4 linked regions of the Struthio camelus genome follow. The protein of the gene in region 1 binds, or shares a complex with, the protein of each later gene. Links are inferred from orthologs where the notes say so. Each region holds a gene or a part of one and is shown in the gene's direction. Other genes may lie near its edges. The genes, in order: MED25, MED21, CCNC and MED23.

Region 1 (7,588 bases):
CCCCAGACCCCCATTTGCCCCCCCAGACCCCCCTTTTGCCCCCCCAGGCCCCCATTTACCCCCCCAGACCCCCATTTGCCCCCCCAGACCCCCCTTTTGCCCCCCCAGGCCCCCATTTACCCCCCCAGACCCCCATTTGCCCCCCCAGACCCCCCTTTTGCCCCCCCAGGCCCCCTATTTACCCCCCATAGTTGCCCCCCACCCCATATTTGCCCCCCGACCCCCCTTTATTTGCCCTCCCCCGGGCCCCCAGCCCCATAATTGCCCCCCCAGCCCCATATTTGCCCCCCCAGCCCCATAACTGCCCCCCCAGCCCCATAGTTGCCCCCCCGGTGCCCCCCCCCCCGCACCCGCAGGTCCCGCTTGAGCCGCTCCACGTTGCGGACGGGCACCAGCTCCTCCAGGCCCAGCACCAGCACCTGCGCGGGGGGCACTGGGAGCGACTGGGAGCGACTGGGAGGGGCACTGGGGGGCACTGCGGGGAACTGGGGGGCACTGGGGGGCACTGGGAGCGACTGGGAGGCACTGGGGGGGCACTGGGGGGTACTGGAAGGGGCACTGGGGGGCACTGGGAGTGACTTGGGGCACTGGGAGGCACTGGGGGCGCACTAGGGGGTACTGGAAGGGGCACTGGGGGAACTGGGAGTGACTTGGGGCACTGCAGGGCACTGGGAGGCACTGGGAGGCACTGGGGGGTCCTAGGAGCAACTCGGGGCACTGGGAGCCACTGGGGGGGCACTGGGAGGGATTGGGGAATACTGGGGGGGCACTGGGGGGAACTGGGGACACTGGGAGGCACTGGGGGGCAGTGGGGGGCACTGGGAGGAACTGGGGGGCACTGGGAGGCAATGGGGGGCACTGGGGGGCACTGGGAACACTGGGGGGCACTGGGGGAACTGGGGGAACTGGGAGGAACTGGGGACACTGGGAGGCACTGGGGGGGGCACTGGGGGGAACTGGGTGCACTGGGAACACTGGGGGGCACTGGGAGGGATTGGGGAATACTGGGGGGGGCACTGGGGGGAACTGGGGACACTGGGAGGCACTGGGGGGCAGTGGGGGGCACTGGGAGGAACTGGGGGGCACTGGGAGGCAATGGGGGGCACTGGGAACACTGGGGGGCACTGGGGGAACTGGGGGAACTGGGAGGAACTGGGGACACTGGGAGGCACTGGGGGGTACTGGGGGGCACTGGGTGCACTGGGGGAACTGGGGGGCACTGGGGGGAACTGGGTGCACTGGGGGGCACTGGGAGGAACCGGGGTGTACTGGGGTGCACTGGGGGGCACTGGGGGAACTGGGGGGAACTGGGGGGAACTGGGAGGCACTGGGGGGCACTGGGAGGAACCGGGGTGTACTGGGGGGCACTGGGTGCACTGGGGGGCACTGGGGGAACTGGGGGGAACTGGGAGGCACTGGGGGGCACTGGGAGGAACCGGGGTGTACTGGGGGGCACTGGGTGCACTGGGGGGCACTGGGGGAACTGGGGGGAACTGGGAGGCAGTGGGGGGCACTGGGAGGAACCGGGGTGTACTGGGGGGCACTGGGTGCACTGGGGGGCACTGGGAGGAACCAGGGTGTACTGGGGGGCACTGGGTGCACTGGGGGGAACTGGGAGGCAGTGGGGGGCACTGGGGGCACTGGGGGGAACTGGGAGGCACTGGGGGCACTGGGGGCACTGGGGGGCACTGGGCCGCTCACCATGGCGCTGAAGACGGCGTCGAGGAGCCGCCCCAGAGCCGCCTCGGAGGCGCCGGGCTCGGAGCTCAGGGCGATCAGCGTCACGCTGTGGGGCGCCCCCCGGCGTCACCCCCGGCGTCACCCCCGGTGTCACCCCACGGTGTCACCCGCCCCGGCGTCACCCCCCGGCGTCACCCCCAGTGTCACCCCCCGGTGTCACCCGCCCCCCGGCGTCACGGAGCTCAGGGCGATCAGCGTCACGCTGTGGGGCGCCCCACGGCGTCACCCCCGGTGTCACCCCTGGTGTCACCCGGCCCTTGGCGTCACCCCCACCGTCACCCGCCCCATGGTGTCACCCGCCCCGGCGTCACCCCCCGGCGTCACCCGCCCCCCGGCGTCACGGAGCTCAGGGTGATCAGCGTCACGCTGTGGGGCGCCCCACGGCATCACCCCCGGTGTCACCCGCCCCACGGTGTCACCCACCAGCGTCACCCGCCCCACGGCATCACCCACTGGCATCACCCACCCCATAGACCCCCCCCCAGATCCTCTCAAGCCAGATCCTCAGCTCCCCCCAGCCCCCCAACCTGCCCCTCAACCCACCATGGCAGCCCCCCAACTTGCCCCCCAGCCCCCCAACCTGCCCCCCCCGGTCCCCCAACCAGCCCTCCAGCCCGTCCCCCCCAGCCCCCCAGGCTGCTCCCCCGGCCCCCCAATCTGCTGCCCGGCCCCCCAACCTGCCCTCCAGCCCCCCAACCTGCTCCCCCAGCCCCCCAACCTGCCCTCCAGCCCCCCAACCTGCTCCCCCAGCCCCCCAACGTGCCCCCCCAGCCCCCCCAGCCCCCCGACCTGTCGTGGTAGCCCCGCCAGGCCACGCGGGCGCCCTCGGCGCTGGCCCCCCGCAGCCCCACGGCCAGGTTGGCCCCGAACATGTGCACGCCGTTGAGGGAGCCGATGAGCGAGAAGGGCAGCTGGGGGGGGGGGGGGGGGCGGGGTCAGCGCCCGGACGCCTGGGCCCCCCCGGACACCTGGGCCCCGACCTGGACACCTGGGCCCCTCCCGGACACCTGGGTCCCTCCCGGACGCCTGGGCCCCTCCCGGACACCTGGGTTCCTCCCGGACACCTGGGCCCCTCCCGGACACCTGGGTCCCTCCCGGACACCTGGGTCCCTCCCCGGACACCTGGGCCCCTCCCCGGACACCTGGGCCCCCCCAGACACCTGGGTCCCTCCCCAGACGCCTGGGCCCCCCCGGACGCCTGGGTCCCTCCCGGACGCCTGGGCCCCTCCTGGACACCTGGGTCCCTCCCCGATGCCTGGGCCCCTCCCGGACACCTGGGTCCCCCCCGGACACCTGGGTCCCTCCCCGATGCCTGGGCCCCTCCCGGACACCTGGGCCCCTCCCCGATGCCTGGGCCCCTCCCGGACACCTGGGTCCCTCCCGGACGCCTGGGCCCCTTCCCAGACGCCTGGGTCCCCCTGGATGCCTGGGTCCCTCCTGGACACCTGGGTCCCCCCCGGACACCTGGGTCCCTCCCCGATGCCTGGGCCCCTCCCGGACACCTGGGTCCCTCCCCGATGCCTGGGCCCCTCCCGGACACCTGGGCTCCCCCCGGATGCCTGGGTCCCTCCCGGACGCCTGGGCCCCTTCCCAGACGCCTGGGTCCCCCTGGATGCCTGGGTCCCTCCCGGACACCTGGGCCCCTCCCGGACGCCTGGGCCCCTCCCAGCTGCCTGGGCCCCTCCCGGACACCTGGGCCCCCGGATAGCTGGGTCCATCCCTGGACACCTGGGCCCCTCCCGGACGCCTGGGCCCCCCGGGGGGGGCGGAGCTCCTCACCTGTTGCCGGGCGGGGCCGCCCCGGGAGCGGCAGAAGAGGGGCACCCCGCTGCTGGCCGCCAGGCAGAGCAGGGACAGGGCCCCGCCCCCCTCTGCCATGGCCCCGCCCCCTCTCGCCCGAGCCCCGCCCTCTCCACCAGGCCCCGCCCCTCCCCTCAGGCCCTCTTTGCCTGGCTCCACCCCCTCAAGGCCCTGCCCTCCCCTACAAGCCCCGCCCCAATGCCCCACCCTGTCAGGCTCCGCCCTCCCCTACAAGCCCCACCCCTAAGGCACCGCCCTGTCAGGCTCCACCCTCCTCTATAGGCCCCACCCAATTCCCCACCCTGTCAGGCTCCGCCCTCCCCTACAGGCCCCGCCCCAATGCCCCACCCTGTCAGGCTCCACCCTCCCCTACAAGCCCCACCCCTAAGGCACTGCCCTGTCAGGCTCCACCCTCCTCTATAGGCCCCACCCAATTCCCCACCCTGTCAGGCTCCGCCCTCCCCTACAGGCCCCGCCCCAATGCCCCACCCTGTCAGGCTCCACCCTCCCCTACAAGCCCCACCCCTAAGGCACTGCCCTGTCAGGCTCCACCCTCCTCTATAGGCCCCACCCAATTCCCCACCCTGTCAGGCTCCGCCCTCCCCTACAGGCCCCGCCCCAATGCCCCACCCTGTCAGGCTCCACCCTCCCCTACAAGCCCCACCCCTAAGGCACTGCCCTGTCAGGCTCCACCCTCCTCTATAGGCCCCACCCAATTCCCCACCCTGTCAGACTCCGCCCTCCCCTACAGGCCCCGCCCCAGACCCCTCAGGCCCCGCCTATCCCTCAGGCTCCGCCCCCTCAGGCCCCACCCCCTCCAGCCCGGCCCTGTCACTCAGGCCGTACCCGGCCCCCTTCCCCCCTCCTCCCCCCACTGCCGCTGAGGCCCCGCCCCCGCGCCCCGCCCCCGCTCTTGGCCCCGCCCCCGGTGCCGGTGCCGGTGCCGGTGCCGCCGCTCAGGCCCCGCCGGCCGCCGCCATGTCCGGCGCGCTGGCGCCGCGCGGCGCCTGCCGGGAGCGAAGCGGTTGCCGCGGCGACGGCGGGGGAGGCGGGGCCAGGGCTCGCCCCGCCCCTCCCTCCCCGCGCATGCGCGGCGGCGGCGGGCGGACCGGAAGGGGAGCAGTTCCGGCAGCCGCCGGCTCGCGCCGAAGAGGAAGTGGACGGTACGGTGGCCGGCGGGGGGGGTCTATGGGTGCCGGGGGGGGGTCGAGTCGAGGGGGTCTATGGGTGCCGGGGGGGTCTAGAGGGGTTGAGGGGGCCCATGGGTGCTTGGGGGGGTCTAGAGGGGTTGAGGGGGGTCTATGGGTGCCGGGGGGGTCTAGAGGGGTCTAGGGGACCCATGGGTGCTTGGGGGGGGTCTGTGGGGGTTGAGGGGGCCCATGGGTGCCGGGGGGGTCTAGAGGGGTTGAGGGGGGTCTATGGGTGCCGGGGGGGTCTAGCAGGGTCTAGGGGGCCCATGGGTGCTTGGGGGGGTCTAGAGGGGTTGAGGGGGGTCTATGGGTGCCGGGGGGGTCTAGAGGGGTCTAGGGGGCCCATGGGTGCTTGGGGGGAGTCTGTGGGGGTTGAGGGGGGTCTATGGGTGCCGGGGGGGTCTGTGGGGGTTGAGGGGGCCCATGGGTGCTTGGGGGGTCTAGGGGGGTTGAGGGGGCTCATGGGTGCTTGGGGGGGGGTCTGTGGGGGTTGAGGGGGCCCATGGGTGCCGGGGGGGCCGAGGGGGTCTGTGGGTGCCAGGGGTGGTTGAGAGGGTCTATGGGTGCCGGGTGGGGTCGAGGGGGGCCCATGGGTGCTGAGTGGCTATATGGGGGTCGAGGGGGTCTGTGGGTGCCCGCTGGGGTTGAGGGGGGGCTTATGGGGATCTATAGGTGCCAGGGGAGGTCAAAGGGGTCCTATGGGTGCTGGGGGGGGTCTGTGGGGGTTGAGGGGGCCCATGGGTGCTGGGGGGGGGTTCTATGGGGGGTTGAGGGGGCCCATGGGTGCCGGGGGGGTTCTTTGGGGGGGTTGAGGGGGTCCATGGGTGCCGGGGGGGTTCTATGGGGGCTGAGGGGGTCTTTGGGTGCCCACTGGGGTCGAGGGGGGGGTTATGGGGATCTATAGGTACTAGGGGAGGTCAAAGGGGTCCTATGGGTGCCAGGGGGGGGTCTGTGGGGGTGGAAGAGTCTATGGATGCCGGGGGGGGGTCAAGGGGGACCCACGGGTGCTGGCGGGGTCTGTGTGGGTCGAGGGGGTCTATGGGTGCCAGGGAGGGTTCATGGGTGCTAGGGGTGTCGAGGGGGGCCCATTGGGGTCGAGCGGGTGTATAGGTGGAAGGGGGGTCTATGGGCCTTGAGAGGGTCTATAGGTGCTGGGGGGGGGTCCATAGGGGTCTAGGGGGGACTATGGGTGGGGGTTCTATGGGGGTTAAGGGGGTCTATAGGTGCCGGGGGAGTTGGGGGTCCATGGGGGTTGAGGGGCACCTATGGGTGTCGGGGGCACCTATGGGTCCTAGGGGGGTCCCTGGGGGCTGAGGGCGGCTCATGGGTGCTGGGGAGGGTTAAGGGGGCCCCATGGGTGCTGGGGGGGGGAGAGGAGGACTGAGGGGAGTCCATGGGTGCCGGGGCGGGGGGGGCCTCACACGTCAGGCGAGAACTGTGGGTAGAAGAGAGTTTGGGGGGGGGCACGTGGGTGTCGGGGAGGGTCCCATGGGTGCTGTCCTTTTCCCCCCCCCCCCGCCAGCACCCGCGGGGGCCATGGTGGTGCCGGCGCTGGAGCCCCCCCCCGCCATGGTGGCCGACGTGGTGTTCGTGGTGGAGGGCACGGCCAACCTGGGCCCCCACTTCGAGGCCCTGCGCAAGCACTACCTGCTGCCCGCCATCGAGTGAGCCCCCCCCCCCCCCAAAAAACCTGCACCCCCCCCCAACACCCTGGGGACCCCCTCGAAACTTTGGGTGCCCCCCCGAAACCCCGCGGACCCCCCTGAAGTCTCTAGGACCTTCCTAAACTCCGGGAATTGCCCCCAAAACTCTTGCTGCTTCCAGGGGGCTCCAAATTTTGGGGAGCCCCCCCCACAAAAAGCTCGGGGCCACCCCAAATCCCAAGAGATCCCCCCTCTCAAAACCCAGGGGGGGTCCCCAAAGCCCTTTGAGCCCCCCCCAAAACCTTGAGGGCCCCCCAAAAAACCTTGGGGACCCCTCAAAACCTTGTAGGTGCCCCCAACCCCAGGTTTCCCCCCCTTAAACCTTTGGGGCCCCCCCAACTCCTAAAGGATCCATCCAAAATGATGGAAAGTTCCCCAAAACTTGCTTGCATCCCTTGAGGATCCCCCCAAGCCCCCTAGGGACCCCCCAAAACTTCTAAGATTCCCCCCAAACCCTTAGGGACCCCCCAAAACTCCTCAGGGCCGGCCCAAACCCCTGGGGACCTTCTACAACCCCCCCTTGAAACCCCCTCAATTTCTTGGGGATCCTCCCAACATTCTTGGCCCTCCCCACCCTCAGGGCCCCCCAAACCTCAGGGACCCCCCTCAAAAACACCTGGAGCCCCCCCAAACCCCATGATGCCCCCCAAAATCCTCTAGAATCTCCCCCGAACCCCTGAGAACCCCCCCAAACCACTCACCCCCCCGAATATTTGGGGCCCCCCAAACACCAAGGACCCCCCCAAAGTGTCTGGGGATCCCCTTAAACCCTGAGGACCCCCCAAAACCTCCAACACCCAAGGACCCCCCCCAAAAATGGAGGTTCCCCTGCAACCGTCTCCTGCTACAGGTACTTCAACGGGGGACCCCCGGCCGAGACCGACTTCGGGGGTGACGTGAGTAAAGGGGGGGCGAGGGCAGGGATTTGGGGGTGGGGGGTGGTCGGGGACCCCCTCTTGGTGGGGTGTGTCACCCCTGGGACGTGGTGCGTCACCCGCTGGGTGTCCCGGGGTGGGGGGTAGTTTGGGGGTACGCAGTACAGCCTGGTGGTGTTCAACGCGGTGGACTGTGCCCCTGGCTCCCGGTGTCCCCCGCGCCCCTGGAGCGGTGCGTCCCCCCCCGCACGGTGCGTCACCCCCGGGACGCGGTGCGTCA
Region 2 (7,263 bases), on another chromosome or scaffold:
AGCTCCAGAATCTGGGGGCTTTGGCCTTTCTTAAGTTTAAGGGATGACATTCTTCAAGACATGGTTAGCACAGAACCCAGGACCACTTGTACCTGGTCCACAAAAAGCAATTAGCTCTCTCTCCTTCAGATATAAACTTGCAGGTAGTGAATACTACCCTATCTCATTTCAGAGAGCATAATACTCCAAACTCATCAGCACCACCGCATCCCTGGTGCCCACCGCAACAAATTAGTCAAGCAAACCTACTTAAGAGTTAAAATGATGGCGTTTGTAGCAATTGAGACTGTGGAGCTGTTCAACCCTCCTCCTTGCTTAAAAAGGGAAGGGGGGGGAGGGTCGAATGAGTTCTCCCCTACCTACTCTTTATGCCAACATCAGCAAAGACTAAGATAACCTTTCTTTTTCCCCTCCTGCCCCCCTCAGCTCTTCAAGCAGCTCTATCTTTGCTTTGATCTTAGCTTAGGCTCAAACCCTGAGCGCCAGGTCCCCGCTGCCTCAGCGCGCCCGGCGCCGCTGCGAGGAGTTCCGGGCAGGGCCGGGCCGGGCCTCTCCCCTCCCGGCCAACGGCCCCGCCATGTCGGCCGCGCTCGCACCGGCGCTGCGCTGCGCTGCGCCCGCTGCCCGGCGCGCACCGACCGCTCCTGCCCACCCGCCTCCGCAGAGGACCCCCGCGGCCGCCATGAGGTGGCCCGCCGCGCCCCCTCACCTGTGGCGGCGGCGGCCGCAGCAGCAACGCCGCGCAGGGCCCCCAGGAGCCCCAGGAGCACCACGGCGCAAGGCGGCAGTCGCATGGCGCTGCGGAGGGAAGCGGAGAGGCGGCTCAGAGCGGGCGAGAGGCGGAGGCGGCGGCGGGAGGCACCGCGGCGCCCGGCCCGCCCCCGAGCCCGCCGTGAGGAGACGCCGCGGGGGGAGGGGCGGCACGGCACGGACCAGCGCGCGGGGGCCGCGGTAACGGTCCTAACCGCCGCCCCCACGGCTCTTTATCTTGCCCGGCCCAACCGCCGCCTCCGGCCCGCTGCTGCTTGGCCAGGCTTCCAGGCTGGGGAGAGGGGGAGGGAGGGGAATCTGTTTTTCTTAAAGCCTCCTTTTTTTTTTTCCTCTCTCTTTTCTTAACGTCCCCGCGGTTTGTTTCGCAGCGCTCTTGTCAAGTGCTGCGGAGCGCTCCCGCACACGGGAAGCGCTCTCGCAGCCGGCCCAGGCGCCTCCGCTTGCGGCCGTGATTCATGCGCACGGGACAGGGGAAGCGGGAGGCAAACTCAAAGTCTTCCCGCTTCTCGCCCTTGCTCTTTGGAGTTCTTGCCAATGCGAAGCTGCTCTCGTGAATATCTGCGCCTCGTTTATGAATTCAGGCAATAACCTAAACCTTGAGCAAGCGTAAGCCGTGCGCCATCACCCTCCCTCCCCTCCCCTCCCCTCCCCAGCTTTAATCCATTTTTCAGTTAACAGAATGTAAAATAAAGCTCTCATTCTGACATCCAACAAACAAAGAGATGCATACTGGTTCATGTTTAAGACTATAGTTATTTCAGTCAAATGGGTGAACTCTCTTCTGCCTACCTTTGCCTAAGGTCCTTCGGAAGGCAGCCTGTCTCAGTAAGGATATCTAGTTTACTGATTTTTTTTTCCTTCTGCCCAACAAGGTTCCTTAGGTCAAAATAAGTAACGTTGAAAGACTGTTAGGTTTAGCGCTTTGCTCTGAGCCACTGTCCGTCAGAGTCGGCGGTGAGACCTCGGCTGTTCTTTGTTCACGGCTCCACGTGCACACTACTTGCCCGTGTCGCAGAGGAACAGAGCCTGAGAGAGGCTTGTCTCATGCCGCGCGCCTCATTTATTCCAGGCTCACGCCAGCATCCGTTCAAATTGTGGAAGTCCAAAAAAAGCCCGTTCATTTCCAAAACAGCTGGAACTCCCTTAAAAATGAGCAGTACTTTTTGCTATACAACATAGCGCTTTGGTGACTTGGCTTTTTAACCAAGGAGTGCGAAGAAAACACGCATCCTAGTTTATGCATGCAGGCCAGCAAAATCAAGGGTGTAAGCCCGACCATATTATTAGAAACACACTTTTGTCAGAGTAGTTAATATGGGGGCAAAGAGGGTAGCTGGGGGAGCCTCAAGAAGATTCCTCCACAGACACATTGCTGCTGGGTGGCTGCACTCGCAGCTTCTCAGAAAAGTTAGTCAGAAGAGACCTCTGGAGGTCTCTAGCTAAACCGCTCACTTGAAGCTAGACTATGGCTGACACCAGATCAGATCAGCCATGGCTTCATCTAGCCAAGTCATACAGACCTTGAAGGCCTGAGAGCACACAGCCTCTCTGCGGGACCTGTCCCAGTGCCGCATTGCCCTCCTCGTGCTGAATAGATTTCCTAATGTTCACCTGGGCCCTCCCAAGGCCATAACCGTGGTCATCAGCAGAGGTCCCTGACTGGGGAAAAGCTAACGTTATACCCATCTTTCAGATAGGTGAGAAGGAAGAACTACAGACCAGCCAGTCAGCCTCACCTCCAGGAGCACATTCCTTCCCTTGGGATCCATTTCCAGTCGGGTGACGGGCACCAAGATAATCAGGAACAGACAGTGAAGATTTACCAAGGGCCAAACATTCTTGAACAACCTGATTGCCTTCTGCAGTTAAATGACTGGGGTGTGGACAAGCAAAGATTAGCAATGTAAAAATACTTAGACTTCAGTAAGGCTTTTGATGTCGTCTCCCACAGCAAAAGTATCAGCCAACTCTTTCAGGCCCTCTGGGTGCTACGCTGGTTATCAGCCACCAACTGGACATCAAACCATTGATTACAAGCTTGGAAGCCCAACGGTCCAGCTGATTTTCAATCCATCTAACAGCCATCTCATCCAGTCCGTACTCCCTGAACTTCCCAGTGAGAATGCTGTGGGAATACCTATATCAGAAGATTTTGTATCACAGACAGGATCATTATCCTGTAAGTTTATCTTTAGCTGTTCAATGACCAAAGCTAAATATCAGCGTACTGACTTGCACAAATTGGTATTTCCTATTTGGTAACCTGCAGGTATAGCAAACTCCTGCTGAATGTAAGCTGGACTGTTGAAGATATTACCACTCCTGGCTTTTTACCGCTCCTGGTCACTCGACATTATCACCTACTCAGCTCAAGTGCTGGAGTGGACCATCAGAGTGCTACTTCTGTCTTTATCCAGAGGCAGAAAGATTGTTGTACAGCAAAAGCTGTACACTTTGTGGCTCACCAGCCTTCTATTGTCAATAATACAAGAATTCAGTTTTTTACCGAACTACAATATCACGTGAGTATGTACTTGTGTCTCGGAGAGAAATAAATTGACTTGAAATGCCAGTTCTATACCGAATAGCACATTTTATAGTGCTTTTTCCTCTTCTGTCTCAGTACTTGCCCCTGTTGAACTACTCATAATACATTCTGGGCCGAGTTCTTGTCCCATTAAAATAAAATGATATTGCTCACCATGACTCTTAATGATACCTGGATTTGCCCTTGGGAACCTGTTCTTTCTAAGGCCCTTGTAACTGAATGCAAATTATCTAGAAGGTTGTAGTCAGCCTCTGGATGCCCCTATAGCTGCTGCTATCCCATGAGATTAGAGACATCTGTTCTGAAGCATTCATCATAGGTAACACTTGTGTTATGATATATTACTGATATGTGCAGAGCTGCTTCTCATTCTTACCATGAAGGCAGCTTAACAAAAATTCACTCCAATTTTTGCTTTCAAGTTACTAACTCAGACTAACCTAACTATGACCCTGATTGTGGGCAGAAGAGAAAGAGACTTGTGGTTATCCAGAAGCTAACAAAGCTGGCAGGACTGTGGACGGGCACGAGGGTCCGCGGGCAGGAAAGGCCCAGGCTAAGGTCCGAGCCTACCTTTCTAAACGTAATTACTTGACGTTGGGGCTGTGGCCGCAGCCCCGCAGAAGCGCCTGCGTTGTCTCTGTACAGCCCAGGCGTGCGTGCGCTGCCTGCCTCCGCACAAGCGGGTCAACAGCTGCAAACTGCACCAAAGGCAAGGAAGCAAAAAGCCTAAGAAAGTGGTTTCCTGCCGTTTTGAAAGGCGGGCTGCCCCGGTTCTTACCGCAGCGCCCCCAGCCCGGCCCCTGCCCCGCCGCAGCGCCGGGCTCCTCCCGGCCTGCAGGGGGCGCGCCAGGCGGCGCCCCCTCCCCCGCCCACCTTCTAACATCGAGGCGTCCCATTGGCTGCGCCGGCTGCCAGGCGCCTTGTCGGGAGGTGGGGGCGGGGGGGTGGCGGCGGCGGCGGCGGCGCTATGGCGGATCGGTTAACGCAGCTGCAGGACGCGGTGAACTCGGTGAGTGCCGCGCCGGGGGCGCCGCTTTCTTCCTTCTCCACCCCCCTCCTTGCTGTCCGCCGCCGCGCCCAGCCGTTGTTGGCCGTTGGGGGCGCGAGCGGGGCGCCTCCCGCTTCCCCCCCCCCGCCCCCGTCAGGGCGCAACAGCCGGCGGCGGCCCCGAGCCCCGGCGGCCCCGCTCGCCCTGGCGGTCGTGGGCTGCGGGTGCGCTCCCGCCTAACCCCGGGGGGCAGCTGTGCTGCCTGAGGGCCGCTGGGATGAAAAATAAGCCTGAAATGTCTTTAGACTGAAGTAATTTAACCCTCTCTTTACTGCCTGTAGCTCGCAGACCAGTTCTGTAACGCCATCGGCGTGTTGCAGCAGTGTGGCCCCCCTGCCTCTTTCAGCAACATTCAGACAGCAATAAACAAAGATCAGCCTGCTAATCCAACAGAAGGCAAGTCTTTATTTCTGGGTCTGCCCGCTCAGGGTGAACACGCTCTGGTACAGTATGCACAGTAATTCAAGATTTGTATTCTATTTTGTGCTTAGCAAGCATTATTCCAGCAGTAACTGGAGGAGTGATTCAGGTCAAATCATAAATTGATGTCAGCTGCACGTGCTGTATAAGAATTTTGTGTGTTAACTGAGTGTTGAAAAGCATTTCTTGTGCAGATACAGTAAGCCTTCAGATATAATAGGACTTTAATAGGACAGCTGTGAGATGCTTTTACTGACTTGTCCGTTATTTTGAAAATTTGTTTTTGAGAATGAGTGTAATTTTTATCAAATAATGCATGAGTTTAAAACTTTCCGTTTACAGTTTTAACTTTTCCTGTGTTTCTTCAGGCGTTGTCTGCTTATCTAATTGATTAAATAATACTACCTTGTTAAATCGCCCTCTTGGCATTTGGGGTTGGGGGTGGTGCTGAGAGAAAAGGATCTAATCTATGGCATTGCAACTGGAAAGCAGACTAAAAGACAGTTCTCTCCTCAATCTGAGAATTTAAAGTTAGTAATCAAATAAGCATGTTATTCTAATCCTGGGTACCTTTCAATGCTTCTGTGGATGTTCTGGTCAAAGCATTTTGCTAAATGATGATTTCTTTTTTGGCTGCTGTGTATTTTCCTGAGAAAATTTGCATGTATCTTGTATCAGATTAGATTTGACTATTGGGATATCAGGGGAGACTGGTTTGGAGCACAGTGATGCTCTTTTCAGGACAGCTGTTGTCTCATCCTTCATTGGTTTGCTCTCTGGTGTGGGAATTAGTTGGAGAAGGTAGCCGAAAGGTTGGCTCGCTTCCTCACGTCACTAGCTGCTGTCCCAGGTACTAAGTATCAACATGACGACTTTGGAGCTCAGAGGTTTGTTAAGGTCTTAAAATCATAGTCCATGATCATCTTTTGTTTTGTCTTGTCCTGAAGCTCTGAATAAAGTGAATTCAGTAAAATCGTACAGCCAAGTTAGCGATGCTGATCAGACCAGACTAAACTACTAGTTGCATGTCTTCAGATAGCTAAAGTCTTGATAAGAAGGCCTTAAAAGCATATAGAACACTTGTTTACAGGCCAAGAGTATATATGGGATGACACTGAGCAAGCTTTAATGATATGTGTTTTGTTTTGTTTTTTAATTAAAGTCAAGTCTACCTCTGAGAATGTCAATCTCTGCTATAGATCTTACCATTAGAAAATATTTTGTCTTGCTGCATGAAAGATCTTTGGAAGCAATCAACATAAAATGTGTAAGATCTTAAGCTATAAGCTAAGGAGGGATGTCTGAATATTTTAGCTAGAGTTATGAACTTCCAAGTCAAACTCAAGGTGATTTTCTGCCTTATAGGGCTTCTTTGGAAGAACTGTATGCACTTTTAATATGATTTTTGTAGCCAAAATAAGATCTATTACAAACTTGTCTCTTTTTCCTTTCTCCGTGACAATTAACTTTTCCTCTGGCTGATCTTTTTTCTTCTTCAAAAAATCTTCTCAGATTCTTTCACTAATGGTCTGTTCCTTGACATAATAACTTACTCTGTGCATTTGAATCTCTATTACTATTTTCATGTAATTTCTAGTGTTCTTATATATAGTGGCAGATTTGAAGGCAAAGATTGAAAGGTTAAATGAGTTGCTAGCTATTTCTGAATACTTAATGTAGCGACTAGGACACTTGATACCTTTCACTAGTAATTTCTGAAGTGGCTAACCATGATGGAGTTCTAGCTATTTTCTCATTTCTTAAAAGAAGCAGTGCAAGGAGAAATGTTAACACTTGAATGCTTCAGATCTTTTTAATATTCTGTACTCCATATGCAGAATTGTGCTTATTTCTAATAATGTATCGAGTAGGCTGATATTTATTTATTTATTTTTAAGAATACGCCCAACTGTTTGCAGCACTGATTGCACGAACTGCAAAGGATATCGATGTTCTAATAGATTCCTTGCCTAGCGAGGAATCGACAGCTGCTTTGCAGGTAAGAGCATTCTTAATTAAACTATCAAAACATAACTGAAGACAGCTTACTTGCTTTCTTTCAGCACACTTTCTTACTCTTCAGACCATGTAATTTTGAAAAATGGCTTCAATGTAAGCCTGAATTTTTCATGAGGTTAGACGATGAATTCTGTGTAGGCTCACTGGAAATCCTGCTTCTTGCATCTAGTTCTTAATTAAATTCTACGCAGTGTGAATATTTTAAACTTATTTTTCTCTTAGAAGGGTTTCAAAAAAAAATCTGCTTTTTGATAACATCACAGTATTCTAAGCAGCTATGTGTTTTTTTCCAGCTTTTCAAATACTAATACAGCAGATGCAACATTGGCTTTTTTTCTTGGATAACCTTTCATATTCTTCTGCCCATTAGATGTTTTGTTTTGTATCTGCAGAGTCAATGTTTTATTGAAGCCTTATGTTCTCCTACAACGTTACTAACTGTTAAAGGGTTTGC
Region 3 (7,721 bases), on another chromosome or scaffold:
ACAGAGAGAGAGAGAGATTCACAGAGCATCTCTTTCATGACAGCATCAAGATAGCATTCAGGTCCCCCTACACATGTATGTATGCCTATATATGTGTGTACATACGGATATACACACTTATATACTTACATCCCTCTAGGCACACCTTTGCCTAGCACAATGCCATATATAGAGAGAGAAAGAGAGAGACACACACACATACACACACACATATATATGCACATATATATGCACATATACCAAGAGATGCCTAGAAAGGAACTACAGTTGTTATACTTTCAATGATTTGCTCATTGAATACGTTCACAATTCCTACGCTAAATTCTGCTGAATGGAGCCTTTTCCTTCATTATTGGTGATGGCTTTGTTGGCTGCCTTGCAGAGATCTTTACTTGTGGCTCTGAAAACAGCCTCTCAGTTCAGACAGATGCAGCTGAGGGAGATGTCTGAAGTGGTGGACGGAGCCGGAGAGAGTTTGCCCACTCTGAGGAGGACCCCTAGGGAGCAAGTGGCCTGCTCTTCACACAGTACACTGCTTGCAGACAGCCAAGGCATGCTTACATCTTAGAACAAATTGGTTTTGTCAGACCAAGCAAAAATAGTCTGCATGTGCTCGCAGGTCTTGACAACCATGAGCACCGAGCACAGTCTTCCTCACAGGATAAGCCAGGAGTTACTTCACCTTGCCAAGGCAGTGCCCTGTAGGAGCGCTTCTTGCTCCCACTGTGACCAGCGACAGAAACTCTGCTAACTTTTGTGGGTGCAGGAATTGGCCTGAGCCACCGGCTGCGGCTCCCGGGGGAATGGGAAGGCCATGAGGCAGCAGCTCTCCCGGGAGGGTTGCCAGCTGCCAGCTGTCTTTCTGTCTAGTGGCTCGGCAGCCTTTTTCCGACCCACATTCAGCCCTGACAATTAGGCTTGCAGGATGAATAAATACATATGCTTGCTCATCTATGTATAAGAGTGTATGCATACATATATGCCTCTATATTAGGAGGGAAAGGAAATAACCTCCAAAATGCTGGATCTAGATTCTGCCTTGTAAGAGTCTCCATCAGGGATAACTAAGTTAGATGTTGATTTTGCAGTGGAGGGTATGGAAGTGGGCAAGGCATTCAGGAGTGACTTACTTAACCCTTCCGGGGCCGGGGCATAGTCCCAGGCGGCGAGCGCTATGGGGTCCGGCCCATGGCTGTCGACCCTCCTGCGTGCTTCGGACCTTGGCACGGCTGACACACAGAGGAAGAGGGAGCTCACGTTGCCCCAGTTTACACCGGGACCACACAGTCACTGAAGTTAATGGAATTGCCCCTGTACTGAATTGGCATAAGCAGTATGAAAATCAACCCTGCGACCGTTATTGCCAGGTAATCTTGAATTTGTGTACAGGACTGGTTAACTGCTGTACAACCTCATTGATCTGTGCAGATGGTGAGGTGTCCGAGAGATTTAATTCCTCGGACTTGATTTATAAATTCATTATAAACTAACAGCAATTTAACATCAAAGCTACCAGTAAACTATAAAATATCTTGGTAGTCCTCCAGCAGCTTTTCCACACAGCATGCCAGCATTGGCTAACCCTTTTGTTTACCTATAGACCCTCGACTGCTGTCGCTGACCAAGTTTCAAGCTCTCCTTTTCACATGCCTCAGTCTGTGAGTCAACGTATAGCACTCCTGTATTCACAGCGTCCTACCACCTTGCCTTGTGCTATGTCACTACTCTAAAAATGTCTGAAACTTGTCACAACCCAAGTGTTAATGACCTCTTTCCTTATGTTCTTCCCGCCTCCCCGCCCCCAAACACACACAGAAATTTTGAGCTAGCTTTTAGGAAAAGTGTGATAGAAATATAGATACTTGGACTGTAACAGCATGAGTCACAGCAACCTTATTCTGGGTCCCTAGGTGGCTGTGTGCTTCTGCTGATTCTACTGGTATTCAGCTACGTTCCCTTCAGCCGTTATAAATAGGCAGTTTTTTCACTGGTCTCACTGCAAAAATCAGGTATACTTCCCCTAGTGGTAGTACTGCTTGAAGAAACGGAGAGGCATCCGCCCTCCCTCTCTCTCGGACCTTATCCTCCACCCTCTTTGTGCTGTTATGTAGGTACAGGGATCTACAACTCCTGGTTTGATGCTGTCTTCCCAACTGTATACAGCAGAGGACATCTCAGATCCCATTTAAAAGTGGGGAGCCCTGTTTCATGTATCATCACAATAAAGAACATGAAAAGGAAGCAAAGGATTTAGGCCCAGATTCTCCCTAAACGACTTCAGACGTTTGCCTGCATAGCTGCTCCCCAGCACAGAGCAAGCAGAGTCCTGCAACTCTGGGAATGGGTAAGATAAAGGGAAATTTAAGTGCAGTGGGGACAACACAAGAGAAATAAGTGGCTTTAGTTATTTACTTATCATCCATAAAGCAGTTTTATTTAACCTGCTATTTCAAAGTGCAGCTATTACTTATCAGTTACTGTCAAATAGGATCTGTAGCACCAAGCCAATTCAAGAAACACTGTCTTATGAGAGAGGGCTCAGTCCTCTAAAGCACAGGACTTCTTTCAAGTGCCTGACCACGGACTGTAGTTATGCACAGAAAGAAGCTTATGTGCAAAACTAGCTAGTTTCTAAAACTGGAAAACCCACCATGCTTAAACTGAGTAGGTGAGGGTTCTGTTCTTTCAGTTTTCCCATTTTTAGGACAGAAGCAGTCAAATGGTAACAAGCTGTCTTTTATGATCATACCCTGCTGTCACACAAGAGTTTGCTTAGCCTTTAAAATAAATTAAAGAAGGTTCAGGGTTATTCCAGCACGTGCTGTCCTTTTCAGCATACCCTCTGAGCTTGTGCGAACAGAAACAAGGGCCAGTAATGCACTGCCGGCACTGTCTGGACCAACCTTTATAATGTCCATCTCTAGACACACGAGAAATTGGGAGCAGACTAGTACAGAATCCAGACACCACAAGAACACCATGCAGGAAAGCGTTTTTTTTAAAAGGAAGAATTTCAAAGAGCTACTGCCACCCTTTCAGTGACTTGTCTATCTGGGGAAGTTAGAGCATCACAAACTAAGGTATGCAGGGTAAACCCTTTTTAGGCAAAGTAAATCTTTCGCGTCCAGAATGTGCCGTGAGGCAACCACGCCATATCAAGGGATGCTTGCTAAGTATTTAATTGTGACAGAATGCATTTTGGTTCCACTAAGCCGTTTTTGAAAGCAAGGTGCGGTGATTCTACTGAATTTCAAAACAGAGACTCCATATCTAGTCATTAGCAGCGTTGAACTATATGTCAAAATAAAGATGGAGAATTTTGTCAAGGATGGTGTAGGAAACGCAAAGAAACTCGCATTGTTCTGTTTCACACATCACGTAAATAGGTACCTCTGAGTATCCATTTTGGCGCTCTCCAGTGTTACATAATGGCTGTGCTCCTCTGCTTTCCACAGAAATAGCATTCTTTCTTTGTATAAACGGTACCTCTGAATTTTACTAACAACGTCGTTGCTTGTGCCATCCTGAAGATGTAAGTGTTTGCAATACTGAATCTGGAATGTATTCTGTATAAACTGGCCATTGACCAACAGCCTTTTAAGAGTCTCCGCAGAGCGAGTTAGCATGGAATTAGCCAGCGCGCTGTAGATTCAAACCTTACCTGACTATTATTCCCTCCCCATTTAGGCAAACTGTATGGTATTTTTTATTGCTAGAGCAGCAACAGAAACTTTTGTGCAACTGTGAATCTGGCACAGGAGAGGTAAGTTATTAAGAAACAATAAATACAGGCTAGCGCAATGCTATTTCAGAGGCTCACTTTTCAAGGCTAAGCCACCAGAATGCAACTACGTGTAACTGTAAAATCAATTATAATGGACGTATTGTCTCTGGAGAATTGCTCCCCACACTGCAAGTCTTCAGAGTGCCATAAGCGGTGATTTGCATCAAGGATTGGTTGGGGAGCAGGCTCCCTTGTAATAGAAGTCCTGCCGTTAAAAGACGAATAATCAAGTTCTAAAACACCAGAGAATGAAACCGGGAGTTTCTTTACAACGGACGCTTTTTGCCTCGGTAGGTTTTCTTCATTCTTGGGGGAATCGGCGGGGCCAAGAGCCTCGGCGACTTGGGCCGGTCGGCGGAGACGAAGCCTGGGCCAGGGGCCGCCGGCCGGGCCGAGCCCCGGTGGCGCGGGGCGCCTCCTCGCCTTGGGGTCGCCTTCCAGCAACGCGCGCGGGGCGCGGGGCGCCTTCCCGCTGTCTGCAGCCTCTCCATGTGGGGAGGAAGAAGGGGGAAAACCTGAGGAAAGAGCACCTTGGTCGGGGCTTTGCTTGGCTGGGAAGGGTCCTTAGGGGTGATGGCGAGGACGAACGTTTGGGCCTTGCCATCTGGTGAAGACTCTCCCCTCCTCCCCCCACCCCCGGCTTGGTAGTTTCGTGACAGCGCAGAAGATGACACATGCAACCAAACGGTGAATAAGTGCATTTTGGCAATGAAGGTCACGACGGTGGCTCCTCACAGGCCCCAAATCCCGCCGCCGCCCGTCAGCAACCAGGGCTCGGCGCCGCCGGGAGGAGGCGGCGCGGGCGAGGGGCAGCGGCGGGGCAGGGCGGGCGGCGGCGGCCCCCTCCCCCGAGGCGGGCCGGGGGGCAGGCAGGGCGCCGGGCCGCCGCCAAGGCCAACGCCGCTGGCGCCCGGGGCCCTGCCGCGGCCGGGCGGAACCTGCGTGCAGGGGAACGGCTTCCCTGCGCCGCGTGTTGCCGGTCGGCGGCGGCGGCGGCGGCGGCGGCGGCCGCCTCCTTCCTGCTGCCGGCGCGGGGGAGGCGGCGCGGCGCGGCGGGGCCGGCGGGATCGCGGGCCCGGGGCGCCTCCGCTCTCCTCCTCCTCCTCATGGCCGGGAACTTCTGGCAGAGCTCGCACTAGTGGGTAACCGGGCCGCTGGGGGGCTGCGGGCCGGGCGGGCGGCTGCGCCGGGCCGGCTTTGTTCGCCGCGGCCGGGGCCGGGGCCGGGGCGTAGGGGAGTGCGGGGCCGGGCGGTGCTGAGCGCCCACGCAAACCGGGGTGTATCGCTGCCGAGAGGGCTAGTATAATAGCGGTGAATAATTTAAGGAGGGTAATGGCCATAGCAATCAGTAGAAATAGGGCCGTTTAAATGGCTCGGGAGGGCCTTTTGCCGTATCTGGGGCCTCTTCGGGGCGCGGAGGAGGCCACCCGTGCCCCGCAGAAGCAGCGTTTGTGTCCGCGTGGGCCTGGTGCCCAGTGCGCGGCCCCCGCTGCTGCGAGCGAGGAGCGCCGAGGTCTTGCGGGCCGGTGTCTGTCTGCAGCGCTAGGGCGGCCAGGGTTGCGCTGTGGCAAGGTGCCTTGTGCTGGGTAGGTTGAGTTTTGAATGGATGCCCGAGGTGCACTAAATATAGCTTAAAATTCACAAGTGATTGGTAGCGCACGTCTTAATGCCGTTCACTGTGTTGCGGTTTAGTTTGCTGCGGGTAAGGAGTGATCTTCTTGGTCCCTGCTAGTGTTTTTTTTTTTTTTTTTTTGGATATCTACCTTGGGAAAAGCTAGTGAGTATTTGCTTGGGAAGAACGTACACGGTTTGTTTAAAGGCCGCGTGCCCTTTAGGCCTAAGCTGTAGTCTGTTGTCGTTTGTACAGGCGATGCTTAATATGATGTTCATAAAGAGTTGCTAAAATTATTTTCTCTCTCTTTAGTTTACAATGGATTTTGGATAAACAAGATCTATTGAAGGAACGCCAAAAAGACTTGAAATTTCTTACTGAAGAAGAATATTGGAAACTACAGATATTTTTTACTAATGGTAAAACTGTTTTATTTTTAGTTCAGCCATGTAATCTATATAGTATTTGCCGTGTCTTCGTGCAAGTTTTAACTGCTTAGAGAATGCAATGTTTTCATTGTTGTATTACATATGTTTTCCTAACATATTTTAATGAAGGGCTGGAATATCAATAGCGTTGTCATTCAGATTAGTTGTATTAATGCATCTTTAGGATAATTTATAGATGAATTAGCTGCGTATGTCTTTTTTTTCTAATTTATGAGAGGACAAATAGTAGATTTTTTTATTTCCAAGAGGCTCTTATGAAAAAAATAAAAGGAGAGGAAGCCAACAGAAACTACTGAAGTAGCAAATTGGAGACACTGTGTTAAGCAGTAGTACTCAAACTGTGGGCCTTGAGCTTTTTTGATGAGCTCTTAAGTCATAGTGTTTTAGCTGGTCCATGGAGTCTTGCTAAATAGCTTGCAAACTTGTCAGTTGTGTTCAGTTACGCTCTTTGAAACCCGCTCCACAGCCTGTGGCCTCATGACTGGTTCCCCAGCACTCAGTGGCTCTCAAGTGGCTGGATACTTTCTACAAGACTGAGAGCTGTCAGCAGCCTGTTCTCCTAGAGAGTTTCGGGCTTGTCTCTGCGCAGTTATCTGAGACTAGGTCCTAGAAACCATTTGACCATATGAATAGCTTTATTGGCGGAAATCAGATTGGTCAAACATACTTGAGGCAGAAAAGTTAAGTGGCTTTCCCAAGGCTATTGAAAGATCTTATGTTGGTGATGGATTATAACTGAAAAATACTTATCCCAGCCTCTCTCTTAGCTTAGCTTTTTTTGTAATGATCAAGTATGATGCAAATCTGATCACTGTTTTTAGGTCTGTGTTCACTTGTACAGCACCAGAAAATCAAGCAACCAATGATTTATCTATTTGATTGATTTCTGAAGTTTATTGAGGATAAAACAAGGTATCTTAGCTTCATAATGCCAAAAGAATAAATGGGATAGTGACAGTTCTTAAATGATATTTCTATGTTAATTTTCACTAGTATTAATTTGAATTATGAAACATAAAATACCTTTTGCCATTTTTCATGTTTCATTTCAGTATTTTTATTGAGTAAACAAAGGTTTAGAAAGTAGACGAGTCGGTTTCACTTTGTGGTTGACAAGCTCCTTTTCCTCTGGCACTCCTTGCCTCTCCTGAGGGTACATTGCATGGCCCGTGGCAGCTGGAGCATAGCTCTGCGAGCATCTCCCTTGTGCGTGGACCAACACAGCATACCCTGGAGGAGAGAGTGGCACTGGGCTGTCAACCCTTCTGTGGCAGAGAGAGGCACCTTCACGGAGGGGACAGCCTGGAGCTCCTGTGTAGCAGTGGGAGCTCATGCAGTGCTTGCTTTGCTCGAGCCCTCAATATGTGTTATATCTCGCCACCTGCCCCCAAATTCAGCACTCGGCTTTGAACGTAAAGAGCTTTTTTCCCTCTTTTCTCCCACCCCTGCATTAGCTATGACCGTGGCTTGCCACGTTCAACCTGCGTCTGCCTCCAGGAGACAGTCTCTCCCCAAAGCAACCAGGAAATTACCTGGAGAAAAGCAGCTTCCTGCTTTGTCCGCATTTGAAAATGGTTGCTGTAGGTCACCGACTGGTTGTATGACTATATACGACTACTTGAACTGTTAAAACTGTAGAGAAGGAAAATTGTCATCTTCTGAAATAGTTCAAAGGAGGAAATTCATGCTGACTTTTCTGTTTGGATCACAGAGTTTTTAATAGAGGTTTTGGCTGAAAAGCCAATTAATTGATTTCCCTTTTTGACTGAGTGCAGGAGTCGTAATGTTTGTGTTACAGGCTACTCAAAAAACATTTGAATTTAAAGCAACGTTTTTTAAAAAAAAATCTGAAACCCTTTATTTTGTAAATATAAGG
Region 4 (7,177 bases), on another chromosome or scaffold:
TTGCTTTTTCAGTCACTGAACTGTGAATTTAAGTGACTGCTCCGCGTAGAGTCTGGCATACTATGCAAACGCAGGTCTAGGGAACAGATGCATCCCTTGCCCTACTTACAGTCCAAATCGCAGTCCTCGGTAAATCTGGCATGCTCAGAAACAGGAAAACTATTTAGAACAACACAGGCAGGACATCGCTGTCATATATGTGTTAATCTGCAGTTTGGGGAAACAAGTAGAAAGACCTAATGTAGCACTGTGTTGTAGCCAGTTTCAATTTCCACTATACTTCCTGTCGTTTTAAGCTACTAAACATAAATTACAGCAACTGAAAGTGTTTGAAGACCATCAAGAACCAGATAGGCTTCAGGTATCCTCCTCATAAATTAAAAGGCACCTTCATATTCTTTTGTTATCCCTCTTCCAAAAGGAATGGAACTCACACAAGAAAGGAAAGAAATCTTAACCATTTCTCGCATAAATGTTTACCATTCTTAAACAAATGGTGATTGGTTTTCTGCCTGAATAAAGGACTGAAATACCAACTAGGCTGTATACAGAGAGATACTCGTTATTCCACACGCACTTTGCATCTTTCATGAATTCTCTTGAAGGCCAAATTATTTTATTTCAGTAAAAATCCTGACTTAAAGACTTCGTACATCTTACATTCCACAACAGCATTTGAAGTCTGTGGTATCATAAAACAGCAGATGAAATTGCCATGTTCCATTTCTGGATCATACAACTTAACACACAGGGAACTGTGGCAATTTCACTAAGGCTCTAGCCTACACAGTTTTACCTGTGACTTACCTGCTGCTTTCACTTATTATATTAAATATGTGTAGGATACGGCACAGTCCCAAAAAATGTGCGGTCTGTGCAGAATGATGTCGTTACAACATTCAAACAGTTCAGTACCCTGTCTCATAGACAATACTTACTGAACCTATTTTGGATTGGTTTCAATCAAAAGGAAAATTCAAAAGCTTGCATTTAAAAGGCGGAGATCTTGGAAGGGAGCACAAGATGAACTGGTTTCATATCCAAAAAATGCCAAATAGTCTTATCTGATGTTCTGAAACATACCAGTATGCTTTACTGCTGCCTACAGATTAATTTTATTAATATAAAAGGTCAGAATGATAATAAAAATCAATTAATTAAAGTCCACTTAGATGCCAAAAATGAGGTGTTGGTTGTTGAATAAATGAATGCTAGTTTTGCTCGGAAAAAGAAGTGATACTGTATCAATTAGCCAGAGGAACATTTAAATTAAAGACTAACCCAATAGCTGGAGTGGATGAATAACTTCCTTGTTATACTTGTGAAGCAATTGTACAACGTTGCTTGTCAGAATGTTTGCTCAATTTTTTTATAATCATTTTGAAATGTATATTTTCTTTTCTCTCTCTGGATTAAGAGGGTCATTTCTTTCTCACGTAAAAGTTTCTTGATCTTCCTTGTCTGGTCAGGCCTAAGGCTTTACGTTATCTAATAAACACAGTTTGACAGGGCTTCATTGCTTGGCAGAGGCACCTAAGAGTCACCTCAGTGCTTAAGATCTGTACTGTTTCTTCTCTTTGATATTCGGTTCCCTCAGACATAGCAGGACCATCATTACTTAGGTCTGACTAGGTAGCGTCTCAGAGCCTCGGTCCTACCTCAGTGATCAGATCCTAACCAGAGCCTAAGGCATGGTTAAAAATGGTTGTGGTCTGTGAGTGTGACCTAATACTAATGCAGATGAAAGTAAGAATAGTAGATTGGTCCCCAAGATAAGATATAATGCTAAGTAAAACAGCACCTTCAGGGCTCCATTACGAGTCATTTGGGGGAATGGACAGACAATTTGGCAGAGAATTAAGAGCATACACTGTTCTGAATGTTGCTATTTTGATAAATAACGATCCAGTCCGTCCCGTGTGGGCAAGTGCTGTGTCTGGAAGTTGCAGTGACATCCAAGTGCACGTCAGATCTCTGTGCAACACACTTTAAATAAGCACAGAGTGAGTGTAAGGAATGACAGTTCTTACCAGAATACGTGTTTTTCTGTTAAGGCCAGCTGGCAATCCAATTACAAAAGTGATACAAACAAGTGTAAAGGGACCTTCAATCAGATCCTTTCTCTGTTTCCAGTGATCATTCATTTTACGTATATGTAGGTAAAAAGCTTACAAGCACACACAGTTTGTTTCCCAACCTGGTATTTCCCATTACAGACAATAATACACTAATTGATTCAGTTATGCATATTACTATTGGCTACAACATGCATCTCTGCTAGCAGTGTAATTCCTGGTGCCACTCATAGCACAATTTCCTGAAAATTTTTATTTTTAAAATTTATTTATAACATCTCAGTGCTTACATTATCTATTCTTCTGGGACTGTTTACACCAAAGCTGTTTACATTTAGAATAAATAATTTATCCAATTCAATGTGAGGTTTTGGTCTGTGGGTACATCCTGCTATATTCCACTCAATTCAAATCTGGAAATTTTCATTTCTCACTGCTCTGAGGCCTTCAAGTATCAGCTAGAATTTGGGAAGATTAGTTTTATTCTGCTGTAGACATAAGCCTGTATCTAGTTATCAGTGCTAGCTGAATTCAGGTTCAGTGCTGTTTCAGGAGACTACGCAGTCAAAATGGTCATAGACAGAGAGGTCAGAAAATACAACGTCAAAGAGCTACAAGATTTTAAAAATATTTTGCTTTGGTAATTACATTTATTTTTAATCTAAAACGCACTACATATATACGATGTATTATCAAACACTTTCAAATAAAAACCTTTTGAGTTTATTCTAACTTTTTTAATGGGAATGAGTAATTCTGACTTTATATTAATTACAGCAAACTACTGTCCTGTAATAATGTAAGGGCTCCTTACTGAAAGGAAGGACCACAACGTGTATTTTGTCAAGTTATTCTAAAACCAAAGAAGCCTAAGTAAAAAATTTGCATGGAATTTACTGTGGTATTTCTTCCCTCTTCTGCAACTACATGGCTTTACAATCCCCTCTTCCCTCTTTCTTTTATTCCTCATTCTCTTATTCTCTTTTTAGATTCTGCAAAGACTCAGAGAGGATGGGGGGGGGGGGTGCGTGCAGCTGTTCCTACAAAATGGAAGAGGCAGCAGTATATATGCCCACACTGAGCTGTCTTTTCACTTCCTCAGCAGCCATGACATCTCCAGTGCTTACAGTAATTTCTCTTCTGATAAATAAAACAAAATAAAATAAAAGCACGCGGGTCACAAAGCCACGCTGGCCGCTTGCCATACAGACCCAATACATGGGTACTGCCAAACGCAGTTGGACGCAGCACTGAAGCCCCATCAGCGGCCTGGCGTGGGCCTGAAACGTTGAGCCCGGAGGAGGTTTAAGTTCGGGAAGTGGTTTTAAAGGGTTTGGGCAGCCAAGGCCTGTTAGGAAAGCTGCTGGGACAGCCGGTGTTGCAACGAGGCTGCAGGCGCCAGCTGGACGCGAAAGGCCGGAGCTGCCTGACGGGTTCGGACGCCCCGGCCGCCGCCTACGGGCGGAGCGCTGCGCCTCCCCACGGGCGGGCGGGCCCGGCCCGGCCCCGGCCAGCCTCGTCCACGCCATCTGGGCCGCAGATAGGCCCCGCAGCCGCCGCCCCCAACGGCCGCGGCGGCCGTTATCCGCCCTCGCGCCCCCTTCCGCGCCGCAGGAAGCTGAGGGGGGAGGGGGCGGAACGCTTTCGCCGCCGGAACCGCCTCGCCGAGAAGTCGGTTTCCGGGGGGGGGGGGGGAAGGGGAAGGGTTTGGGCACGGAGCTTCCGGCGCGGGGGAGGGGAGGCTGCGCCGCCGTCCCGCCTGACAAAGGCCGCGGCCGTGGGCTGCGCCGCCCGGCTCGGCGCGGTCCGGCTCGGGCGGCGGCGGCGCCGCCATGGCGATCCCCATGGTGCCCATGGAGACCCAGCTACAGAGCATCTTCGAGGAGGTGGTGGTGAGTCCGCCGCCGGCCTGCCGCCAGCGGGGAGGAGGGGCGCGGGCCGCCGGCGTTGTCGTGGCCCGGCCCAGGCGCGGGGGAGGGCGGAGAGGGGTGTCCGCAGCTGCCGGCCCGACGGGCGGGAGCCCGTGAGGCCCTGCGGCCCCCTGCGCGGCCCGGCCCGGCCCGGCGCGGGCCCCCGGGCGGGGCGTGTCGGGCCCCCTAGGGGCGGTGCATCTTGCCGGGTGTAAAACATGGAAAAACAGGTCTCCAGCGTCGCGGTGTTTGCGTTGATGCAGTCGCTGTGTCCTCACCTCTGCGCGGTGAGTCGCCGCCGTCGTGCTCGTGCTGTCGGGCCCGTCGCGAGATGTGCCCTGCGGAGCCGTAGAGGGAGAGAGTTTCTTGAAGCACACATTTCTCGCCTGGTGTGTCTTTATAGTGTGCCCGAGTCCGACACAGGGTAGAATCGGGCATGATATAGGTGGGAGGTAGGTTGCTTACCCAAAGCCGAACTATGACGTGTTGAATTCGCTTTAAAATAAGCGTGGTTTAAGTTGGCATTAAGAAGAGACTATGAGAAAATGAGTGTCTTGAGAAGGTGCTTTTCTTAAATAAATGGAATGACTTGAGGGAATCCTGGAAATGAGCCTCACAGTGGCACCAACAACACAAAGCATGGTCCAGCAGATCGAGAAGTCATCGTTTTGTATACTATAAATAGCTAAAATGTCTGAGTAGCACGTTACTACAAGTTTGTGTCTAGTACAGTGGTGCTTGGGAGGGGCAAGACTAGCCAGCAGTGGAGTAGAGAAGAGGAAAATGAGTAGTACTATGAATCAGGCAGGTGATCCCACTGGCAATTTTTGGTAGATTTGAGTACTTGGTGGCTAGTAGTGTTATGGTCAGAAGCCCTGGCCTGTCAGTAGCTTATAAGTACTTGAATGGGAGCTTCAAACTGACTAAGACAAGAAAATCTGGTGGAACTGGCTATATTTGAACAATAAATGTGTAGGCCTGCTAGACAAGACTGAACTGATAACAAAGTCCAAAAGTTTAATTTCAATAGATGAAAGGCTGTGTTTCTTCTTTTTCTTTTGCATATATGTTCTATCCTTTATAGAGAAGGATATCATGCAATTTATAATGTTAAGTTGCCCATACTTGATGAGTTTTTTGGGCACTGTCATTCAGATTATGCTTTCACGTGTTTAACTTTGTAATTTGACTATGTTGTCACTGTTTGTGATTGTCTCGAACAGCAACAAAAAAAGTCCCTGAAAAACTTTCATTGCCTCTTCTGAGAGGCTGATGGGGTTGTTTTGTTTTATTTATTCTGGTTTGAGATTATGTTTATTACCCTAGTCAGGTAAAATGATTAACTATTGAATCTAAATGTGACTGTTGGTGATACTGAACACCTCTCTTGTGTTCCCGGCTTTTTTAAAGCCATAACTGAGAACATAGGAAGTTGTAACTTTCACTGTTGCTGTTACCAGCTTTGCAGACAATAGTGAAACTCACTTAACTTTCTGTGCAGAACAGATTAGTATCAGGTTCCCTTTTGCTTCTTGAGAAAGCTATAAGTAGCAGAGGCAGTTAGTTTGAGGCTTTACAACTGAGAAGAATCACTGGAAAGATTGTTTTATTACTTGTTGTTACCTCTAGCACGTAAGGATGAAAATATGTGTGGGTTATAGACATCACATCGCAGTATAATACAGAATGCCTAAAGAAGGCAAAAAAACCTATAGAGTAGTGTTTTCCAGAGCTCTTTTTTGATAAATTAGAATAATGATGTAGAAACCTTTGAGCAAAATGGCATATAAAAATGAATGTTATAGAGGAGGTAAATTAGGTGTTTGTATATAGTCTTTCTCACAGGACAAGACCTTATGATCATTAAATAGAAATTTAAAAAGCAATGGATCTAAACTAAGAAGGGGAAGCAACTCTCTGCATAATTGGTTTATGTAACCCAGTGTGACAGAACATAACTGAGACAAAAAATTTAATCCTATCCACATCTGAATCCTATTCAGAATAGGTTTCATTCCTTAAAATATGAAAGACAAGCCACAATTACACAATTGAATAATTTCTCCAATATTGGGATATAATTAATTTTTAGGTTTTTAAAAGAAAAGAAGAAAGAGCCTTAATGTAGAACCTCAAAATGTTACATAAAAACAAAGCAGTTTCAACTTCTAAAGAGTCAAGCCTAGCAAAAACATAAATCTGCCTCAAGGCCTTCTGATACAGCCCCGTAACAGTAGAACTGTTACTCTCTAGTGCTTTATCCTGGTGGCACAGCACTCCCAACAGATCTTTTCACAATAGGCTCACTGAGGGTTTTTCTCTTACAGAAAACAGAAGTAATTGAGGAAGCTTTCCCTGGGTAAGTATAATGACAGTTTATTTATGCATGATTTTCTGTGTAATTATATTTTCTACTTGTGCTCTTTTGTTGGTGAACTGCTAATAACTAATGTTCTCATTTGCATTAGTATGTTTATGGACACTCCTGAAGATGAGAGAACCAAACTGATCAGCTGCTTGGGTGCTTTTAGACAGTTCTGGAGCAGTCTTTCCCAGGTTACCTTTTAATTTGTTGTCTGTATAGATGCACTTTTATAATGTGGCAGCACCTTGTCTGGTAGACAAGCACTTAACCTATAAAGTCCGTTTCCTGTCACTCAGAATCTGATTTCAGATGTGGCACAATATAGAATATAAAAAGACTTTGCAAGAAAAAAGGTTTTTTACATCAATAAGATTATATAGCTGCTTAGAAAATGTTGCTATGCAGTCCTTATAAAGATAACCGAATGGAAGTAGAACAGTCATTTTTTTAAAAAAAGGTAATTTTTCATAGAATTTCTGGTAGAGGTGAATGTAGAAAACAGATATGTTTAATGAAAAACACTGTTTATATGTAAAGTTTGCCTTCCAAAAATTAGATACCTGTAGGCATTCTTCTTGTAGTTGGAGACCTGGTCATCCTCATTTTCAGTGAATTTGATTATAACTGTGAAAAGGAAGGAATAATGCAGAATAGAGGTCTATTTTATTCTACTCTGTGCTGAAAAATTTACATGTGAAAAACAAAACTGACTCGAAAAATCCTCATTTCAGCTATGAGGTGTGACTTCAGAAGGAATTATTTCAGATGTCCTATTAAAATAAGATCAAAAGACTTGTGGAAAACTGGATGTTAGGGAGTTGGACTCC

The links.
Region 2: MED25 (region 1) and MED21 share a complex: the UniProt entries of both Homo sapiens proteins name them as parts of the mediator complex. The link is inferred for Struthio camelus from reciprocal best matches to the Homo sapiens genes MED25 and MED21.
Region 3: MED25 (region 1) and CCNC share a complex: the UniProt entries of both Homo sapiens proteins name them as parts of the mediator complex. The link is inferred for Struthio camelus from reciprocal best matches to the Homo sapiens genes MED25 and CCNC.
Region 4: MED25 (region 1) and MED23 share a complex: the UniProt entries of both Homo sapiens proteins name them as parts of the mediator complex. The link is inferred for Struthio camelus from reciprocal best matches to the Homo sapiens genes MED25 and MED23.

What each region holds. Positions count from the first base shown.
Region 1 is NW_027182651.1:76,211-83,798, forward strand, and holds the start of MED25 (mediator of RNA polymerase II transcription subunit 25), read left to right. Parts: upstream 1-4,583; 5' UTR 4,584-4,703; intron 4,704-6,252; 5' UTR 6,253-6,266; coding exon 6,267-6,394; intron 6,395-7,283; coding exon 7,284-7,329; intron 7,330-7,588. Other genes in the region: FUZ (protein fuzzy homolog), read right to left, coding at 351-419, 1,702-1,786, 2,530-2,651, 3,520-3,618. UniProt on the Homo sapiens protein: Component of the Mediator complex, a coactivator involved in the regulated transcription of nearly all RNA polymerase II-dependent genes.
Region 2 is NC_090942.1:77,129,178-77,136,440, forward strand, and holds the start of MED21 (mediator of RNA polymerase II transcription subunit 21), read left to right. Parts: upstream 1-4,250; 5' UTR 4,251-4,289; coding exon 4,290-4,331; intron 4,332-4,651; coding exon 4,652-4,766; intron 4,767-6,688; coding exon 6,689-6,789; intron 6,790-7,263. Other genes in the region: TM7SF3 (transmembrane 7 superfamily member 3), read right to left, coding at 710-794. UniProt on the Homo sapiens protein: Component of the Mediator complex, a coactivator involved in the regulated transcription of nearly all RNA polymerase II-dependent genes.
Region 3 is NC_090944.1:54,823,376-54,831,096, reverse strand, and holds the start of CCNC (cyclin-C), read left to right. Parts: upstream 1-4,708; 5' UTR 4,709-4,890; coding exon 4,891-4,922; exon of another isoform or gene 4,923-4,926; intron 4,927-5,708; coding exon 5,709-5,815; intron 5,816-7,721. UniProt on the Homo sapiens protein: Component of the Mediator complex, a coactivator involved in regulated gene transcription of nearly all RNA polymerase II-dependent genes.
Region 4 is NC_090944.1:71,468,289-71,475,465, reverse strand, and holds the start of MED23 (mediator of RNA polymerase II transcription subunit 23), read left to right. Parts: upstream 1-4,165; 5' UTR 4,166-4,203; coding exon 4,204-4,272; exon of another isoform or gene 4,273-4,437; intron 4,438-6,312; coding exon 6,313-6,344; intron 6,345-6,453; coding exon 6,454-6,541; intron 6,542-7,177. UniProt on the Homo sapiens protein: Required for transcriptional activation subsequent to the assembly of the pre-initiation complex. Component of the Mediator complex, a coactivator involved in the regulated transcription of nearly all RNA polymerase II-dependent genes.